4 linked regions of the Callithrix jacchus genome follow. The protein of the gene in region 1 purifies or fractionates together with the protein of each later gene. This does not show direct contact. Links are inferred from orthologs where the notes say so. Each region holds a gene or a part of one and is shown on either strand. Other genes may lie near its edges.

Region 1 (3,500 bases):
GGGAGGCCTGGATGAAACTTTGCGAGCAGTTGAGGGAGTTGACACTGTGAACACTACACACGCTGCCATTGGTGACGGTGCCATTTAAATAATTTAAGTCCAGGCTGTTGTGAGAGTTGCAATACAGGGCTTCTTCATTCCCATGAAAAATGCTGTCTACAAGAAGTCAAGCAAAGGCACGTGAACCTCCACGCCATTCTGCCACAGCAATGCACATCCTACACTTATGAGGTGACTTTTCATTTAAATAAGTCATAAAAAATGAAATCCCATGGTCTCCACCAACATATTCTACAGAATAACAAATACTATCTTGGATGAAATGCCAACATACAGAAAGAACACCTTAAAGCATACTGAAAGGAAAAAGCAAACCTAATCAAAGGCGTGCACACATTTGAAGTAAGTGTTGCTTGGGAAAGTTCTCAGTTCTGCCGTGAGCTTTGAAATCAGGCACCAACAATGGCCCTCCAATTGGGGAGACCTGTCCTCTTGCTCAGGACTCAGCAACAGGACTGAATATTTAGACAAGGAATTCAAGAACTTTAATAAATTTCAGTTACTAAGGACTTAGAGCTGCTCTTCCTGATGGCAATGGAAAAGGCGCCTTTACCCAGGTGACTGCTGGGCATTCTAAAGACACAAAACAAATGATGTAGCCAGGGTGTCAGCACAGCTAGCTGGTCCTGAGCAGCAACAGAGGGCAAAATTAGAATCACGAGTTCTTTTCAGCAACTCCTAATATCCCCTCTAGAACTATTTCATCACTTAGGTCAATTCAAGTAAAAATTATAGTTTAAAGAGATACCTAAGGCAATAAAAAGCAGATTCCTAAAATCAGGCCCATTCTAGGTGTCCGGTGTTCTCTTACACACACACGCCCCGAGGAAGGCAATCTCTTGCCTTTCTATAGCCAAGATATATTCATTTTCACACTACAGATTTAAGCATGAGCAAAACAGAGAAAGGCAAACTCAGAGAAGGTGAAAAACAGAAACGGTGACTGAAAATAGTCAACTGAAGAGAGGGAGCATGGACAGAGATCTGATCAGATGAGACAGGCAGGACAGACAAGGGGAACGCAGAGACAAATGTGGGGGCAAGTTAGCCACCTCCCATGGGGTTTGGGGCCTTCCCAGAGAAATGTGGTAACTTTGCTAGTCTCCTTGTAAAAAGTACTATTTTATTAAATTAAATAGTCTTGATTGCCTTGGTTTTCATGCTCACACTTTTATACAGCAGAGGATTCAAAATGGCCAGGAGTTGATAACAGAGAATGAATTAACCATTTACTGTATTTCCAACATCCAAGATTTTCTACCATCTCCTTTTTTTCAAATGCAGTTCGCATAATGATTACAAGTACCAGTTTTCATATCTAAGTTCCATCATTAATCTGTCTGTACCCCAATTTGTATATCTGGAAAATAGAAATAATAATAGTACCTATAGGTTTGTTTTAAGGATCACGTGAAAAGATATATACCAAGTACTTAGAGCAATACCATAATTGCTCTATGAATGTTAGTTGTTACCATGAAATCATTACTAGTAGAAGAAGCTTTTTCACACATTTTGCATGGGAGAAATTTTGTGAGAAAGAGAGGAATAGAACAGCTTTACTTTACTCTGAAAAGAAAAAAGCAAGTGTACCAAGAAAGGGGCTGGGGAAAGAGATGAGAAAAACAGCTAAGAGAAAAGGCTGACTTAGTGTATTTCTTCCAATTATTCTGCACGTCCGTGTTCTATGTCACCATGAAAAGCAGAGTGACTGCCAGGAGCTTTCTGATACTGGCAATGAAGGTGAAGTGCATTCACTTGGGCTGAGCTATCACGGTCTCTTCTCTAAGCTCACTTAGGAAAGGGAGAAGAAAGAACTTGCTCGCTGCCTTGACCCCGACCCCCAGAGCAGCCAATACCGGGGAAATTTTTTGATCAGAGGTAACTGATAGTTTAAGCCTTCTGCAAATTGAAGCTGTCAGATACTATCATTCAGACAATGACGAAGTTAAAAAGAAAGCATCCCTGTCTTCTTTTTTTTTAAAAGTCTTCTTTACCACTTATTGGTATTCAATTTTTTGTCTTAAGAATGGAGAATGGCAAGCCAGCGTTACCTTGTGAGGTGTGTGTTTCCGAGTAGTGCTCACCACACTGCACGTGAACGGGAGGCAGGATGTACGGCTGCTGCCTGGGCTGAAACAGAGAACACAGAGGAGGTGGGGAGGCCTGGCCAGACCCGGCCAATGACTCACACACCCGGCCCGGGCACACAGCAGTCCCACCATGTCGTCAGGGAGGCTCGTGGCAGCCGCTGTCCCTGTCACCCCTTTGACCCAACCTTCTTCTACCCGTCTGCGCTCTCATCTTATCACTAAGACTGGGACTGGAGAAACGGTAAGGGAGAAATGAAGTTGGTTCAAGATCAGAGAGAGAAAGAAGTTACCATCAAAGATTGAATGTAACAATTTATTATCTATGTTCTAATACACTTGCAAAGTTCTCTGTGCCTTCTCTCACAAGAATAACTTAGAAAAGGTAAATTATTCAAGGTGGGAGGATTGACTGAGCTTGGGAGTTCAAGAACAACCTGGGCAATATGGGGCAATATGGTGAAACCCCATCTCTACTAAAATACAAAAAAAATTAGCCAGGTGTACTAGCATGCACCTGTTGTCCCAGCTACTTGGGAGGCTGAGGTGTGAGAGTCACTGAGCCCGGGAGGCAGAGGTTGCAGTGAGCCAAGATCACGCCACTGCACTCCAGCCTGGGAGACAGAGAGAAACTGTCTCCAAAAAAAAGAGTGAATTATTATAATCCATCTCAGAGATGACAATAAGGGAACACCTGTTTCATTCTTTTCAAAATTCCATTCATAAGCTCCTACACATCAGCATAGCTATGCCTGAGACCACATCAACCTTAAATAGGAACAGGGTTAGTGTTAAGCCGAGCCCGGGATGAATCTACTTAAATATCTAAAATGAATCTACTTAAATATCTAAAATGTGGCCCACAACAGTGAGTGTGTAGCTCTCAAGACCACTTGCTGACCTCCCCCACTGCAGAACCAAGTATGGAAAGGGCCCTGTCTTCCCCCTACCGCAGTGCAGAATCTTTTCTGCAGTCTCTTAAAAATGGCTATTTAGACTGAACCTGAATAACTTCATGCTGTGGAAGAGGAACAAGCTTTTAGAGGAATAAAAAATACTTCAGTGGATTAAATATTTGGTGAGCCAACAAAAGAGAGGCAGTTATGCACTAATATAATATAGAGCAAGTCATTTAACCTCAGCCCATCTCAGTTTCCTATCAGTCAAATCAAGCTCCTCTCTCCCCCTACCTCAAGCATTATCCATTTTATTTACATATCAAGGTTCCGGATAAGAATTTGTTTAAAATAAGAATTTTGATCTGCGGGAAAAAATAACCCTCAAAACACTTAAGTTTATAAGCCACAAAAAACGATAATCTCTTATATTTCTTTTTCCTTTTCATTTCTT
Region 2 (3,500 bases), on another chromosome or scaffold:
TTCCAGACAACTTACACCTTTACTTTTGAGTTAAAATCTTAAGAGGGTCTGTGTATAACTCCAGCACACTTAGTCAATTCAGAGTAGCTTTACCTGAAAGCCCCTTCATAGACAGTTTTCCTCATCTGCAAATGATATCTCTCTATCCCAGCCCTAAGATCTTTGTTTCTCTCTGGGAAAGTTAGTTTTTCCAAGTATGGCCTATTATTCTCGTGGCTCTCCCTCCTTCTTGCCTCCTCCTCCTTGCCCTCCCCATCCCCCTCCTCCCCCTTCCACTTCTTTCAAGATTTGGATAATGCCTGACTTTTGCCAAGAAATTTTTCTTAATTAATTTTTACATATTTTGACAGATTCCTTATTATATACTAGTTTTTGGGATCAAGGGGAGGACATAAAACTGAATCATGAATTCAAGCTTTTCCTTTTGCTCTATAAACATGACCTAGAATATTATCTGAGCTATACTCTAGGCTATAGGTTCTATATTATTAGTAACAGAAAAATTTAGTAAGCATATATATGCACTAATTACAAAGTAAGTGCTTGACATGCATGATCTTGTTTAATCCTCATAACGACTCCATGTAACTTGTAACTAATTCAAGGTAACAGAGCTAATAAGATAAAAGCAAGAACTTGAACTTCAGAGCCTGGTGGTAACGACCACTGTGTCTTCCTTATACCATACTCATTCATATCACTCACTACTTCTTTCCTTAGGTCTATTTGTTCCTGTCTTTACATAATTTGTGTAAATGTGTTATTCATTCACAAGAAAGAATGCTTTTTAGAGTAACAAAACCACCCAGATCCTGCTCCAATTAACACAGAAAACTACAAATAGTAGCTACTTGATAAAATAAACACACATACACAGCTATAAACAAATACATGCATATATATTTGGATGCTTTCTAATTTGAATAACTGGAATTTTTAACCCCATGTTTTATTTCACAATATACTATTTAAGTGTCTCACAGAAAAATCCTAATTCCCTCATAATTCCCGTTGTACTGTATTCTTCACATATAACATAGTAAATCCTTACTGAATAAATGGTTAAAAGAGGCATTGAGTAGTTCAATTACTTTAAAAATTAAAAAAGTTATAAAGTATTAATATTTTATAATATAATCAAGGAATAAAGGATTCTGACTTCTATCATCTAGCAACTTCGATCTTCATCTAATGACTGTTGGTTTCATTTGTCTATCTTTTTCTTCCCATATGGGTTCCCAGTTTAAAATAAAAACAGTATATCAAGAGACTGGAAATTAATTATGTAAGAGGAATAATGCTAATAAAGTTTCCAAGGGTCAATAAATTTCACTAAGTAAAAGGGAATATAACTCATGGCTGAAGAATATTAACCTAGTGATAAATACCACCCCAAATTGGAGTAAACTACTATGGAATATAGTATAAACTCCTGTAAAGATTGTTAGCTATTTAATTTAAATTAATGCTTCCTTATTTTTGAGTTCTTATATCAATACTGCTATTAAAACAAAATTAAAATATACAGGTAAAAATTTGCATTATAATTAGGCATATGTAATTAGTTTTTCGGTTATCTTTAATCTTTTTTTCATTGTTGTGTTCCACGTTCAGAGATAATTTCGGGAGACTTTTTCCTGATATTGAACCTGCAAGCCTAATAAAAATCCTTATTTTACGTTTGGCTTAGATAATCAATGCTTTATTGTTTTAAAAAGTCAGTACATCGTTTTATGGTAAATAAGAATCCATAATAATGAATTCACAATACTGACATTCTTTCTAATTTACGTCCATATGATTTCTTCCAAAAAAAACGATACATTTCTTAAGGTATGCTCCCTTCTTTAATGTGTTTTCTGAAAGGTGTATTTAATATGCCTCATCAGTACTGCACTCAAAGGCAACCTAATCTTGATCTTAGAGAAGACTTCTCATTATTTCACTTAAACAATTCATTAATTATTATAGTTTCATAAACGCTATTATGACAATGCATCTTTTGAAATTTCAACTCTATGTTCAGGGAAATTTCCAGTAAAAGTCATACTTTCACAGGGACCAATGAAAAATATATTATTTTTGCTTTTTCATTCATTGAAGGAACAAAGACATAATGCAACCTTCTTCAAAGTCTTATTAAGTCACATTACATATTCCTCATTGAGAGAGAATTGAAAAAAATAACAGGAAAGAGAAATTAAATGTGTATTTACCTGTATTAGACAAACCCACAGTACTGTTTTCTGAAGAAGTAATTGGAATCTGTTCTGTTTTGTTGTATCCAGTTTCTATCTGTGAAAGAAAATGAGAAACACACAATGTCATTTACTAAAGTAGGTCACCTGAAGCCCGTGTTAACATAAAAAGAATGGTTAAAGAGATTAAGGTAATAGTCCCTCAAACTATAAAATTTATACTTTATGAAACTATAAAATTTTGGTATATGCATCTTCGAACAACTTTATGAAACTATAAAATTTTGGTATATGCATCAAACTTTATGAAACTATAAAATTTGGTATATGCATCTTTGAACAAAGCCATTCAGAATTAAAGGTAACAATTGCTTGCAGCTCTTCCATATCCAAGGATAACAAAATATAAGGCCACACATCTTGTCTTTTCAAAGTATTATAGCTCCACATGACAAAGTATAAGGGGCTGACTGAAAATCTTACACTCTGTCTCTGTTCAGCATGTACCTGAAACTGAAGTTACCATTGACACATTTTATTCTACTGACTAAAAGCCTGAATTTCCTATTTTACAGCTAACACAGATATAAATAATATACACTTTATAACTGTAATTTTTTAGGACAATATAGCTGTTAGTAATTGAGTGTATTAATTCTGATATAGAAATTCCCCATTTTGTGTGATTCTATTTGGGGGAACTATAGCCTACACACATGAAGGAGCAATATCCTTCTAGAGTGGATGCCTGGGATTAGCCTCACTATGTGGGAAAGAAGCTAAGGAAGAACAAATAAGATAGCCTGACTTTAGTCAAGCAGAGAACAGAAATGGCAAATAACTAAACCAACTGAAATTAAATATGATATTGTTCACATAGTTTTGAGTGATATCTAGGCAAATCTTTGTGGAACCATTTTGTCATGCTAGTATTGTCTAACAAATCATGCTTCTGGACACAGGACATGCTGACTTAAAATATGTGTGCTGAATATACAGCATAAACATCTTAAATAGTAAAGAAGAAAAAATATTTCAAAGAAGTATTAATTTGTTAACAATTTTACTGAAATAACAATTCTATATGTACTTAACCAATGTAAAAATATATGGGGGATTTACGGAGTATATATGCAGAGAAATTTAAGATTACATGACTTACCTCACAAGAAGGTAAAATGGCATTGTTAGTTTTGGGAGTGGATGAGGTCTTTGGAATTAGTGTTTCAGGAGGAGAAGAAAAAAGACTAAATGCTGAGGCTTGAGGTATATATTCTCCTGAAGCTTCTACAAGTGATGTAC
Region 3 (3,500 bases), on another chromosome or scaffold:
GGCCAGCAGGAGACTCAGGCCAGGGGCAGGAAGCGGGGGTGAGGTAGGCAGAAGCTGGAGACACTAAGGGGGTGCCCTGGGCAGGAGGAACAGAAAGAGGGAGGCAGAGAGGGCAGCCGGCTGGAGAGGGCCGGGCTACGACTGCACGTTGAGCGCGTGGGCAGAGCGCTGGTGGTGCCAGTCTCGGAGGCGGGTGTAGCGTGGGCTCTGCAGCTCCAGGACATACTTTTCCCTGAGGGGCAGAGAGAGAAGGAGGAAGAAGTGGAAGGAAGGAGAGATGGAAGGGACATAGGGAGGGAGGAGGGTAGGAAGGAATGAGGGAAGGAAGGAGCAAGGGAAGGGAGGAAAGAAGGAAGGAAAGAAGGAAGAGGAGGAGGAGGGAGCGAAGGAAGGAAGGAGAATGGAAAGCCCCAGCTGGGAGCCTCAGGAGTAGACATAGGGCAGTAGCTGGAATGGAAGAGGCAGGAGGTGGGAGAAGGGCTAGTGCCCATTCTTGTACCTTGATTTCTTCAGGTGCTCCTCATCCGGGTCTTGCACTGAGAGGGCAGAGACAGGCATTGACCAAGAGAGACAGAAGGTCAGGGTTCACGCCTGGGCTGGAGGCCAGGAGAGTCCACCCTGCCTAGGCTGGCACTTACTGAACTCGGTGCCTGTGAGGTGGGCAAGGATGCGGAAGGAACGCGACTGGCCTGTCCCAGGCCGTGGCCGCCAGTCCTCGGTGTTCTCCATCAGCCGCTGCTTGCTGGCATCTGGGACCAGCGGTCGGAGCGGCTGTCTGTGGGGAGGGTGCGGCTCAGAACCCCATGCTGGGGGTGGGCAGTGGGGGCAGCCCCTCCCAGGATTTGGTGCATGTGGGTTACAGTGATGGGAGGGAGTGGGTAAGGGCAAGGCCAGAAGCCCTGCTAGGCGGGTGGATGAGAGGACAGGAGGGCAAAGTGGAGAGGAGGGCAGCCAGGGTGGGGAGGGGCCACCGCCCAGAGTGCCAAAAGGAAGAAGAGAGGGACAGGCAGAGGGGGCTCACTGACTTGTCAGGGGTCTGCACCTGTGAAGGAAATAGACAGATAGAGAGATAAAGGGACAAAGGGACAGACACAGGAGAGGAAGAAAGATGGGGAGGGGTCAGGGCAGCCGGGGACCAGGCAGCACTGAGTGTCTAGGGCTCAACTGGCCCAACACCATGACCCAACCCCAAGCCGCCAGCAGGGGGTGCGACCTCATTCAGAGACCCCTCCCCAGGGCAGTGCCCTGCAGGGTGCCACAGCCTTGGGAGGGGCCCTGTGCCTGCAGTCCCACCCCGGCCGCCAGGGGTTGCTGCCGCACGGTTCCGCCGGGCTGGGGCACAGCACAGACTGAGCAGCAGCGGGCAGCGGGCAAAGGGCGTGGGGCCACAAGGGGCCTGATGGCATGGGCACGGGCACGGGCGGGCCGGGGCTGACATACCCATTCTGCTGCGGGGCGTTGTCAGCGGGCGGGGGCGCCCCGAAGGGCCGGGCCGTCTTGTTGAGGGAGACGCTGGGTGCAAAGGTGTACCGCGGGGGGTCCGCGGCAGGGGCCGGGGCCTGAGCAGAGACAGAGCCGGGCAGGGCAGGCGGGCAGGGACTTGGGTGGGAGTGGGGCGCCCGCACCAGAAGACAGTGGCAGCTCCAGCCCCCCACACCCCCCACATCTTGCAGGAGACTAGGGGGAGACGACAACTCAGGTTTCAAGGGGCCCATTCAGGAGTGGTGATTTCAGTCCACGCAGGACCGAGGGCTGACCAAGTGCGGGCGAACACGCAGCACCGGCGGCGGGAGGCAGGCAGGCGGACAGACAGGCAAACATGCGTGGTGCCCAGACCGTGCGGCAGCCCCTGGCTCAACTCCAGGGCCCTAGACCCACCCTAGCTCCAGTTTCTGCCCTCTACTTCTGACCAGGGATTGGGGTACCGAGGCTGTGCCAGGAGGGCGAGCAGGTCTGGCTGTCCAAGCCCAACCCGCCCGCTGCCCAGATGTCCCGGCCCGCCTCGTACCTTCTGGGGTTTGCTCTGAACCGGTTGGGCCCTGAAGGAAAAGGAAAGTGTGACAGCGTGGGCCCATGAGAATCCCCATTGCTAGCGACTGTGCACCCATCCACACCAACGCGCATACCTGCTGAGGCCCAGGCTGAGGCGTTCCCCACAGGCCCGGATCTTGTTCTGAGCTTCGATGTGTGTGAGGCTCCCTGCATTCTCGCCATCGATGCTCAGCACCCAGTCACCAACGGCCACTCCAGCCTGTGCTGCTTTGCCTCCAGGAGTGAGCTACAGAGAAAAGCACAGTGACCGAGGTCCTTAGACTCTGCAGACCCAAGCCAGGTGGTAATGCTGCCCCACTTCTAGAGGCCAGAGAGCTCTTCATTCAACATAGTTCTAGGCAGCTGCTGGACACTAAAGCAACCAGGAGGTGGTGGCGCTCACCTGAGCTTCACAATTTCCCATCACACTGCTGATTTATTTACTCTGCACCACGACCCTACCCCACAGTCCAGAAATTCTATGATACCCACAAACAGCCATGCTCAGGCCCATGTGTTTCAGGAGGACCACCTGCCTTTTGAAGCACCTGCTGGCTGCCTGCCCAGGGCTGCTATACTACCAGATATGCCCTCTGGCCCATGCAAGGGGCAGCTTCTTCCCTGCTACCGCTGGGGGCTCTTATGGATCTCTTACCCTCCAGCACCCTATCTGGGGGCCATCTGCAGGGGTCCGCTGGGACACTTTGAGAGCCAGGAACAGGCCCTGTTATCTCCAGGTTCCCCATGAACACTGCCTGAATGGGGCCTAAGGTGACAGCTGGGGCTTCATAGGCCATACATGAGTGTCACTCCCAAGCCTTCAACTGCCAACTCCCCTGACTCCAATCCTTCAGGCTCTGAGCTGGGAGTCCCTGGTTCCAGTGGCAACAAGGGGTGACAATAGGCTGCGAGAAATGGCTGCCACCAGCATGAACTAAGACCATCAGGAATGACTTCAGGGAAGCTAAGAGAGCTCGGTGGCCCCTTCCTCACTCGCTAAATAAGAACACCTCCTTCAGTTTACTGAGCACCAAGTATGCTACACATTGCTGCATCTTCCAACAACCCTGTGGAGTAATCTGAGATTTTACCCATTTTGCACTTGAAAGTGTACACAGAGAGGTTAAACAACTTGACTCAAGTCACCCAGCAAGAGGCAGGGCCAGGAAGTGACCCTGACCCTAAGACTCCACCACTGCAGGCCACCTTTGCTGAGCATGGGGGCCCAACTGAGGGGTCAGCCCACCTCGAGACGCCCTGAGCTTCCCCCTCACATTTAATTCAAGCCAACTAAATCAACCCTTTAAACTGTGCGTGGGGAAGTGACACCCCAGAGGGGAAATGACTTACTCAAGGCCATGGTGAGTCAGTACAAGGGAAACCTGGCCCAGCCACTACCTGCCCACAAGGGCTGGCTCCTGGGAGGTGTGGGCTGAGTCCGAGGTGGGGGTCTTGGGGTGCACAGGAGC
Region 4 (3,363 bases), on another chromosome or scaffold:
GTGGGTGCCTGTAGTCCCAGCTACTCGGGAGGCTGAGGCAGGAAAATCGCTTGACCCCAAGAGGCAGAGGTTGCAGTGAGCTGAGATCATGCCACTACACTGCAGCCCTGGTGATGGTGAAACCACTTCATCAAAAAAAAAAAAAAAAAAAAAGTCATTGCCTCTTTTCCGAGTAGTTCAGCAAAGTGCCAGAATTGAGTATTAATGGGTGGGCTTTGATAACATACTCACCTCTGAACCCATCACTGAGATTCTGATTGGCCAGGCTCAGGTCACATTCCTATCCCTGATGCCCCACACAAACCAGGTGGACTGAGTGTGGAGGAAGAGAATTCCAAGGGAAGGTGAGGGCATTGTTACTGTAAGGCTGGGGAAACAGATGCTGGGCAAGCAGAAACAATAGGCGCGCATTACAGGAACATGAAGTCAAGACTTGACTTCTGCCCTCAAGCAGGAACAGACCTGTACTGGGGAAACAACTTCAGAAAAGTACAGTGACAGGAATCAATACCTGAAAACGTCCATGTGAAGGGCGCTGACAGTACTCAAGCTGGCACAGTGTAGAGAGAGGGCGGGTGGGGATTGCAGCCAGCTCCCTGGAGTGAAATCTCAGCCTTACCACACATACCCTGTGGGACTTAACCTCTGCAAGCCTCATCTGTGCAGATGATAAGCCTTGGAACCTCCTAGGTTTATGAAAATGAAACAAGGCAATAAAAATTAAGCACTTAGCACCATTCCTGGGACATAATAAATGCTCAGTAAACATGAGCTGAGTGGGAGAATTCCAAACAGGCTTCCCAGGGAAGGGCAAGCCCCATTCAGAAGGAGTGAAAGCCTACAGGTAAACAAAGGGAGGATATTTGAGGGTCAGAGGAAGGGGCTGGGTGGGCTCACAGGGCAGAGTTCTAATAACAAGAGAAGCCGTCCCCACCTCCGCAGCCTTCCTCCGTCAAGTCCCTGCGCTCCGAGCGTCTGATCCGCACCTCGCTGGACCTGGAGTTAGACCTGCAGGCAACGAGAACCTGGCACAGCCAACTGACCCAGGAGATCTCGGTGCTGAAGGAGCTTAAGGAGCAGCTGGAACAAGCCAAGAGCCATGGGGAGAAGGAGCTGCCGCAGTGGGTGCGCGAGGACGAGCGTTTCCGCCTGCTGCTGAGGATGCTGGAGAAGCGGGTGAGTGCAGCTCGAAGGCAGGGGAGCCCTGTGCTCTGTCCCAGGGAGTGGGGGGTACTATCCCAGGGAAGAGAGGCCAGAGCTCATGATGCATCCTACCATTCCCACCACAGGTTCCACTGAGGTTGTTCCACCCCTCCCTCATTCCCATCAGCAGAGGAATCCAGGAATCTCTTTGCCCGCTCAGCCTTATTAACCCTTCACCTGGCTGCAAGGCTCATTTACTGCATTTGTTGATGTGTTTTTGTGTGCTGGCCCATATTCACACATGTGCTCATCATGCAGTTCTTCATTGAAACACATGGGGCACCTAATCTGCCAAGGCACACACTTTAACAGAGTAACAATAGGACACGGACCTGCCTCAGTGCCTGCCCAGGCAGTCCCACAGGGCAGCCCTTGCCAAAGCAGGAGAGGGGCTGGTCACACCGGGCTTTCTGTTAACAAGGATGCCCTGGAGTACAAGCCTGCTGGCATCTCTGCCCTGCTATAGTGAGTTTAAGGGTTGATCAAGGAGAAAGATATAACCACAAAATGGTGTTAGCACACACACAAGTTTTATATTAGTTGTGTTTTTTGTTTTGTTTTGTTTTGTTTTGGAGACAGGTTCTTACTCTGTTGCCCAGGCTGGAATGTGGTGGCACAACAGCTCACTGCAACCTCCACCTGCCAGGCTCTATCGATCCTCCCACCTGAGCCTCCTGAGTAGCTGAGATGACAGGGGCATACCAATATACCTGGCTAATTTTTGTATTTTCTGTAGAGATGGGGTTTCACCTTGTTGCTCGGGCTGGTCTCGAACTCCTGGGCTCAAACAATCTACCCATCTTGGACTCCCAAAGTGCTGGGATTACAGGCTTGAGCCAGTGTGCCTGGCTTGCACTGCGCTTTGACAGGTTTGCATGCAGGAGAAGTCCCTCCCAGCATGAGACCTTCCAAAGGTGCTGGGGGCTACTACCCAGTGTGGAGGAAGGCAAGGGAACTCCCAGGGGAGAGCTGGGGGAGAGGGCCATCTAGGTGAGGTAGCTCTGCAGCACGATGGGGAGTCTCTGGGTCAGAGAACTCCAAAGCAATAGCAGCAGATTGGAGTCTCTTATAGGCCCAGGGCATATCTTATCTATGGCTAGCAAATGTTAGATACAGTTTCACAGGGTATGTAAAACACAAAGATTGTATATTTCTTTAAAAGCTGCTTATTTGAGCTAAAACAACTGGAAGGGTAAAAATTTGAGTTTGGCACCAGCAGGCTTTTGAGCCAACAGGTCCCAGACGACCATGAAGAAATAAACAATGCAGGGCCAATATACAATGGCCATTCTCTTTTTTTCTTTTCTTTTTTTTTTAAGACAGGGTTTCACCATGTTGGCCAGGCTGGTCTTGAACTCCTGACCTCAGGTGATCCGCCTGCCTCAGCCTCCCAAAGTGCTGAGATTACAGGCATGAGCCACCATGCCTGGCCAATTCTCTACTCTTTTATAAAAAATAATACCTGCCACTCTGTGATCACCACCCATGGCAAGAAAGACCTTTGATAGTTCTCTCTACAAACAGCCAGACTTGCTGAGAGCACCTTACACAGGGTGCCTTCCTGAACTGTCAGGAGGGCCATCAGCTGAAATCTCAGCACTCCGTACAGGTGGTGATGCCTTAGGGCAGGAAGATGCTGCTGGACTTCTTAGGCCTGGACTGATATGGCAGCTTCAAACTGACTCTGGCAGTTCTGAAGTTCCAGAAAAGTTTACTTCTTTCTTATGTATACCCTGTTTACTTACAAACAGCATTATAACAAGAGTATTGAGGGAAAATAGAAAATTGGAAGGCTTAAAGGAGGAGAAGGAAATAAATATATCCCAAACCTAAAGTAACCTGGTTAGAGTTAGGTATTATATTTATCTTTGAGCTTCCTGGTAGCCAAGGCAAAAAGAGATCAGAAAACAAGTGCCTATGTGCCCTACCTTAACACTTGATCTTAGTCAAAAGACTAAGAAGTAATACATGCCCTGACTTAAGAAAAACAAAGAAAACTTGACCTTCCAAATGGTTAAAAAAAAAAAAAATTAAAAAGTAACATCTATGCCTTCTAACAAAACACCATTGAAATGATGGCTCTATTTACAAAAGTTCTGTCTTTGTGCAATGTTTTCAAGTATATGGTGCATGGATATTTTAGAGTTTTCTGTGGTTTGT

What was found.
Region 2: the proteins of PTPN14 (region 1) and STXBP4 purify together in Homo sapiens (affinity purification with mass spectrometry; 3 studies listed by BioGRID and IntAct, counting the BioPlex papers as one, with this or other methods). This does not show direct contact. The link is inferred for Callithrix jacchus from reciprocal best matches to the Homo sapiens genes PTPN14 and STXBP4.
Region 3: the proteins of PTPN14 (region 1) and PDLIM7 purify together in Homo sapiens (affinity purification with mass spectrometry; 3 studies listed by BioGRID and IntAct, counting the BioPlex papers as one, with this or other methods). This does not show direct contact. The link is inferred for Callithrix jacchus from reciprocal best matches to the Homo sapiens genes PTPN14 and PDLIM7.
Region 4: the proteins of PTPN14 (region 1) and WWC1 purify together in Homo sapiens (affinity purification with mass spectrometry; 7 studies listed by BioGRID and IntAct, counting the BioPlex papers as one, with this or other methods). This does not show direct contact. The link is inferred for Callithrix jacchus from reciprocal best matches to the Homo sapiens genes PTPN14 and WWC1.

Annotation. Positions count from the first base shown.
Region 1 is NC_133520.1:14,776,675-14,780,174, reverse strand, and holds part of PTPN14 (tyrosine-protein phosphatase non-receptor type 14), read right to left. Parts: intron 2,194-3,500; coding exon 2,115-2,193; intron 157-2,114; coding exon 1-156. UniProt on the Homo sapiens protein: Protein tyrosine phosphatase which may play a role in the regulation of lymphangiogenesis, cell-cell adhesion, cell-matrix adhesion, cell migration, cell growth and also regulates TGF-beta gene expression, thereby modulating epithelial-mesenchymal transition.
Region 2 is NC_133506.1:111,208,097-111,211,596, forward strand, and holds part of STXBP4 (syntaxin-binding protein 4), read right to left. Parts: coding exon 3,361-3,500; intron 2,296-3,360; coding exon 2,217-2,295; intron 1-2,216. UniProt on the Homo sapiens protein: Plays a role in the translocation of transport vesicles from the cytoplasm to the plasma membrane. Inhibits the translocation of SLC2A4 from intracellular vesicles to the plasma membrane by STX4A binding and preventing the interaction between STX4A and VAMP2.
Region 3 is NC_133503.1:68,644,111-68,647,610, reverse strand, and holds part of PDLIM7 (PDZ and LIM domain protein 7), read right to left. Parts: intron 2,279-3,500; coding exon 2,127-2,278; intron 2,040-2,126; coding exon 2,009-2,039; intron 1,560-2,008; coding exon 1,441-1,559; intron 1,043-1,440; coding exon 1,022-1,042; intron 776-1,021; coding exon 639-775; intron 563-638; coding exon of another isoform or gene 537-562; coding exon 500-536; intron 233-499; coding exon of another isoform or gene 136-232; exon of another isoform or gene 1-135. UniProt on the Homo sapiens protein: May function as a scaffold on which the coordinated assembly of proteins can occur. May play a role as an adapter that, via its PDZ domain, localizes LIM-binding proteins to actin filaments of both skeletal muscle and nonmuscle tissues.
Region 4 is NC_133503.1:31,339,770-31,343,132, forward strand, and holds part of WWC1 (protein KIBRA), read left to right. Parts: intron 1-924; coding exon 925-1,176; intron 1,177-3,363. UniProt on the Homo sapiens protein: Regulator of the Hippo signaling pathway, also known as the Salvador-Warts-Hippo (SWH) pathway.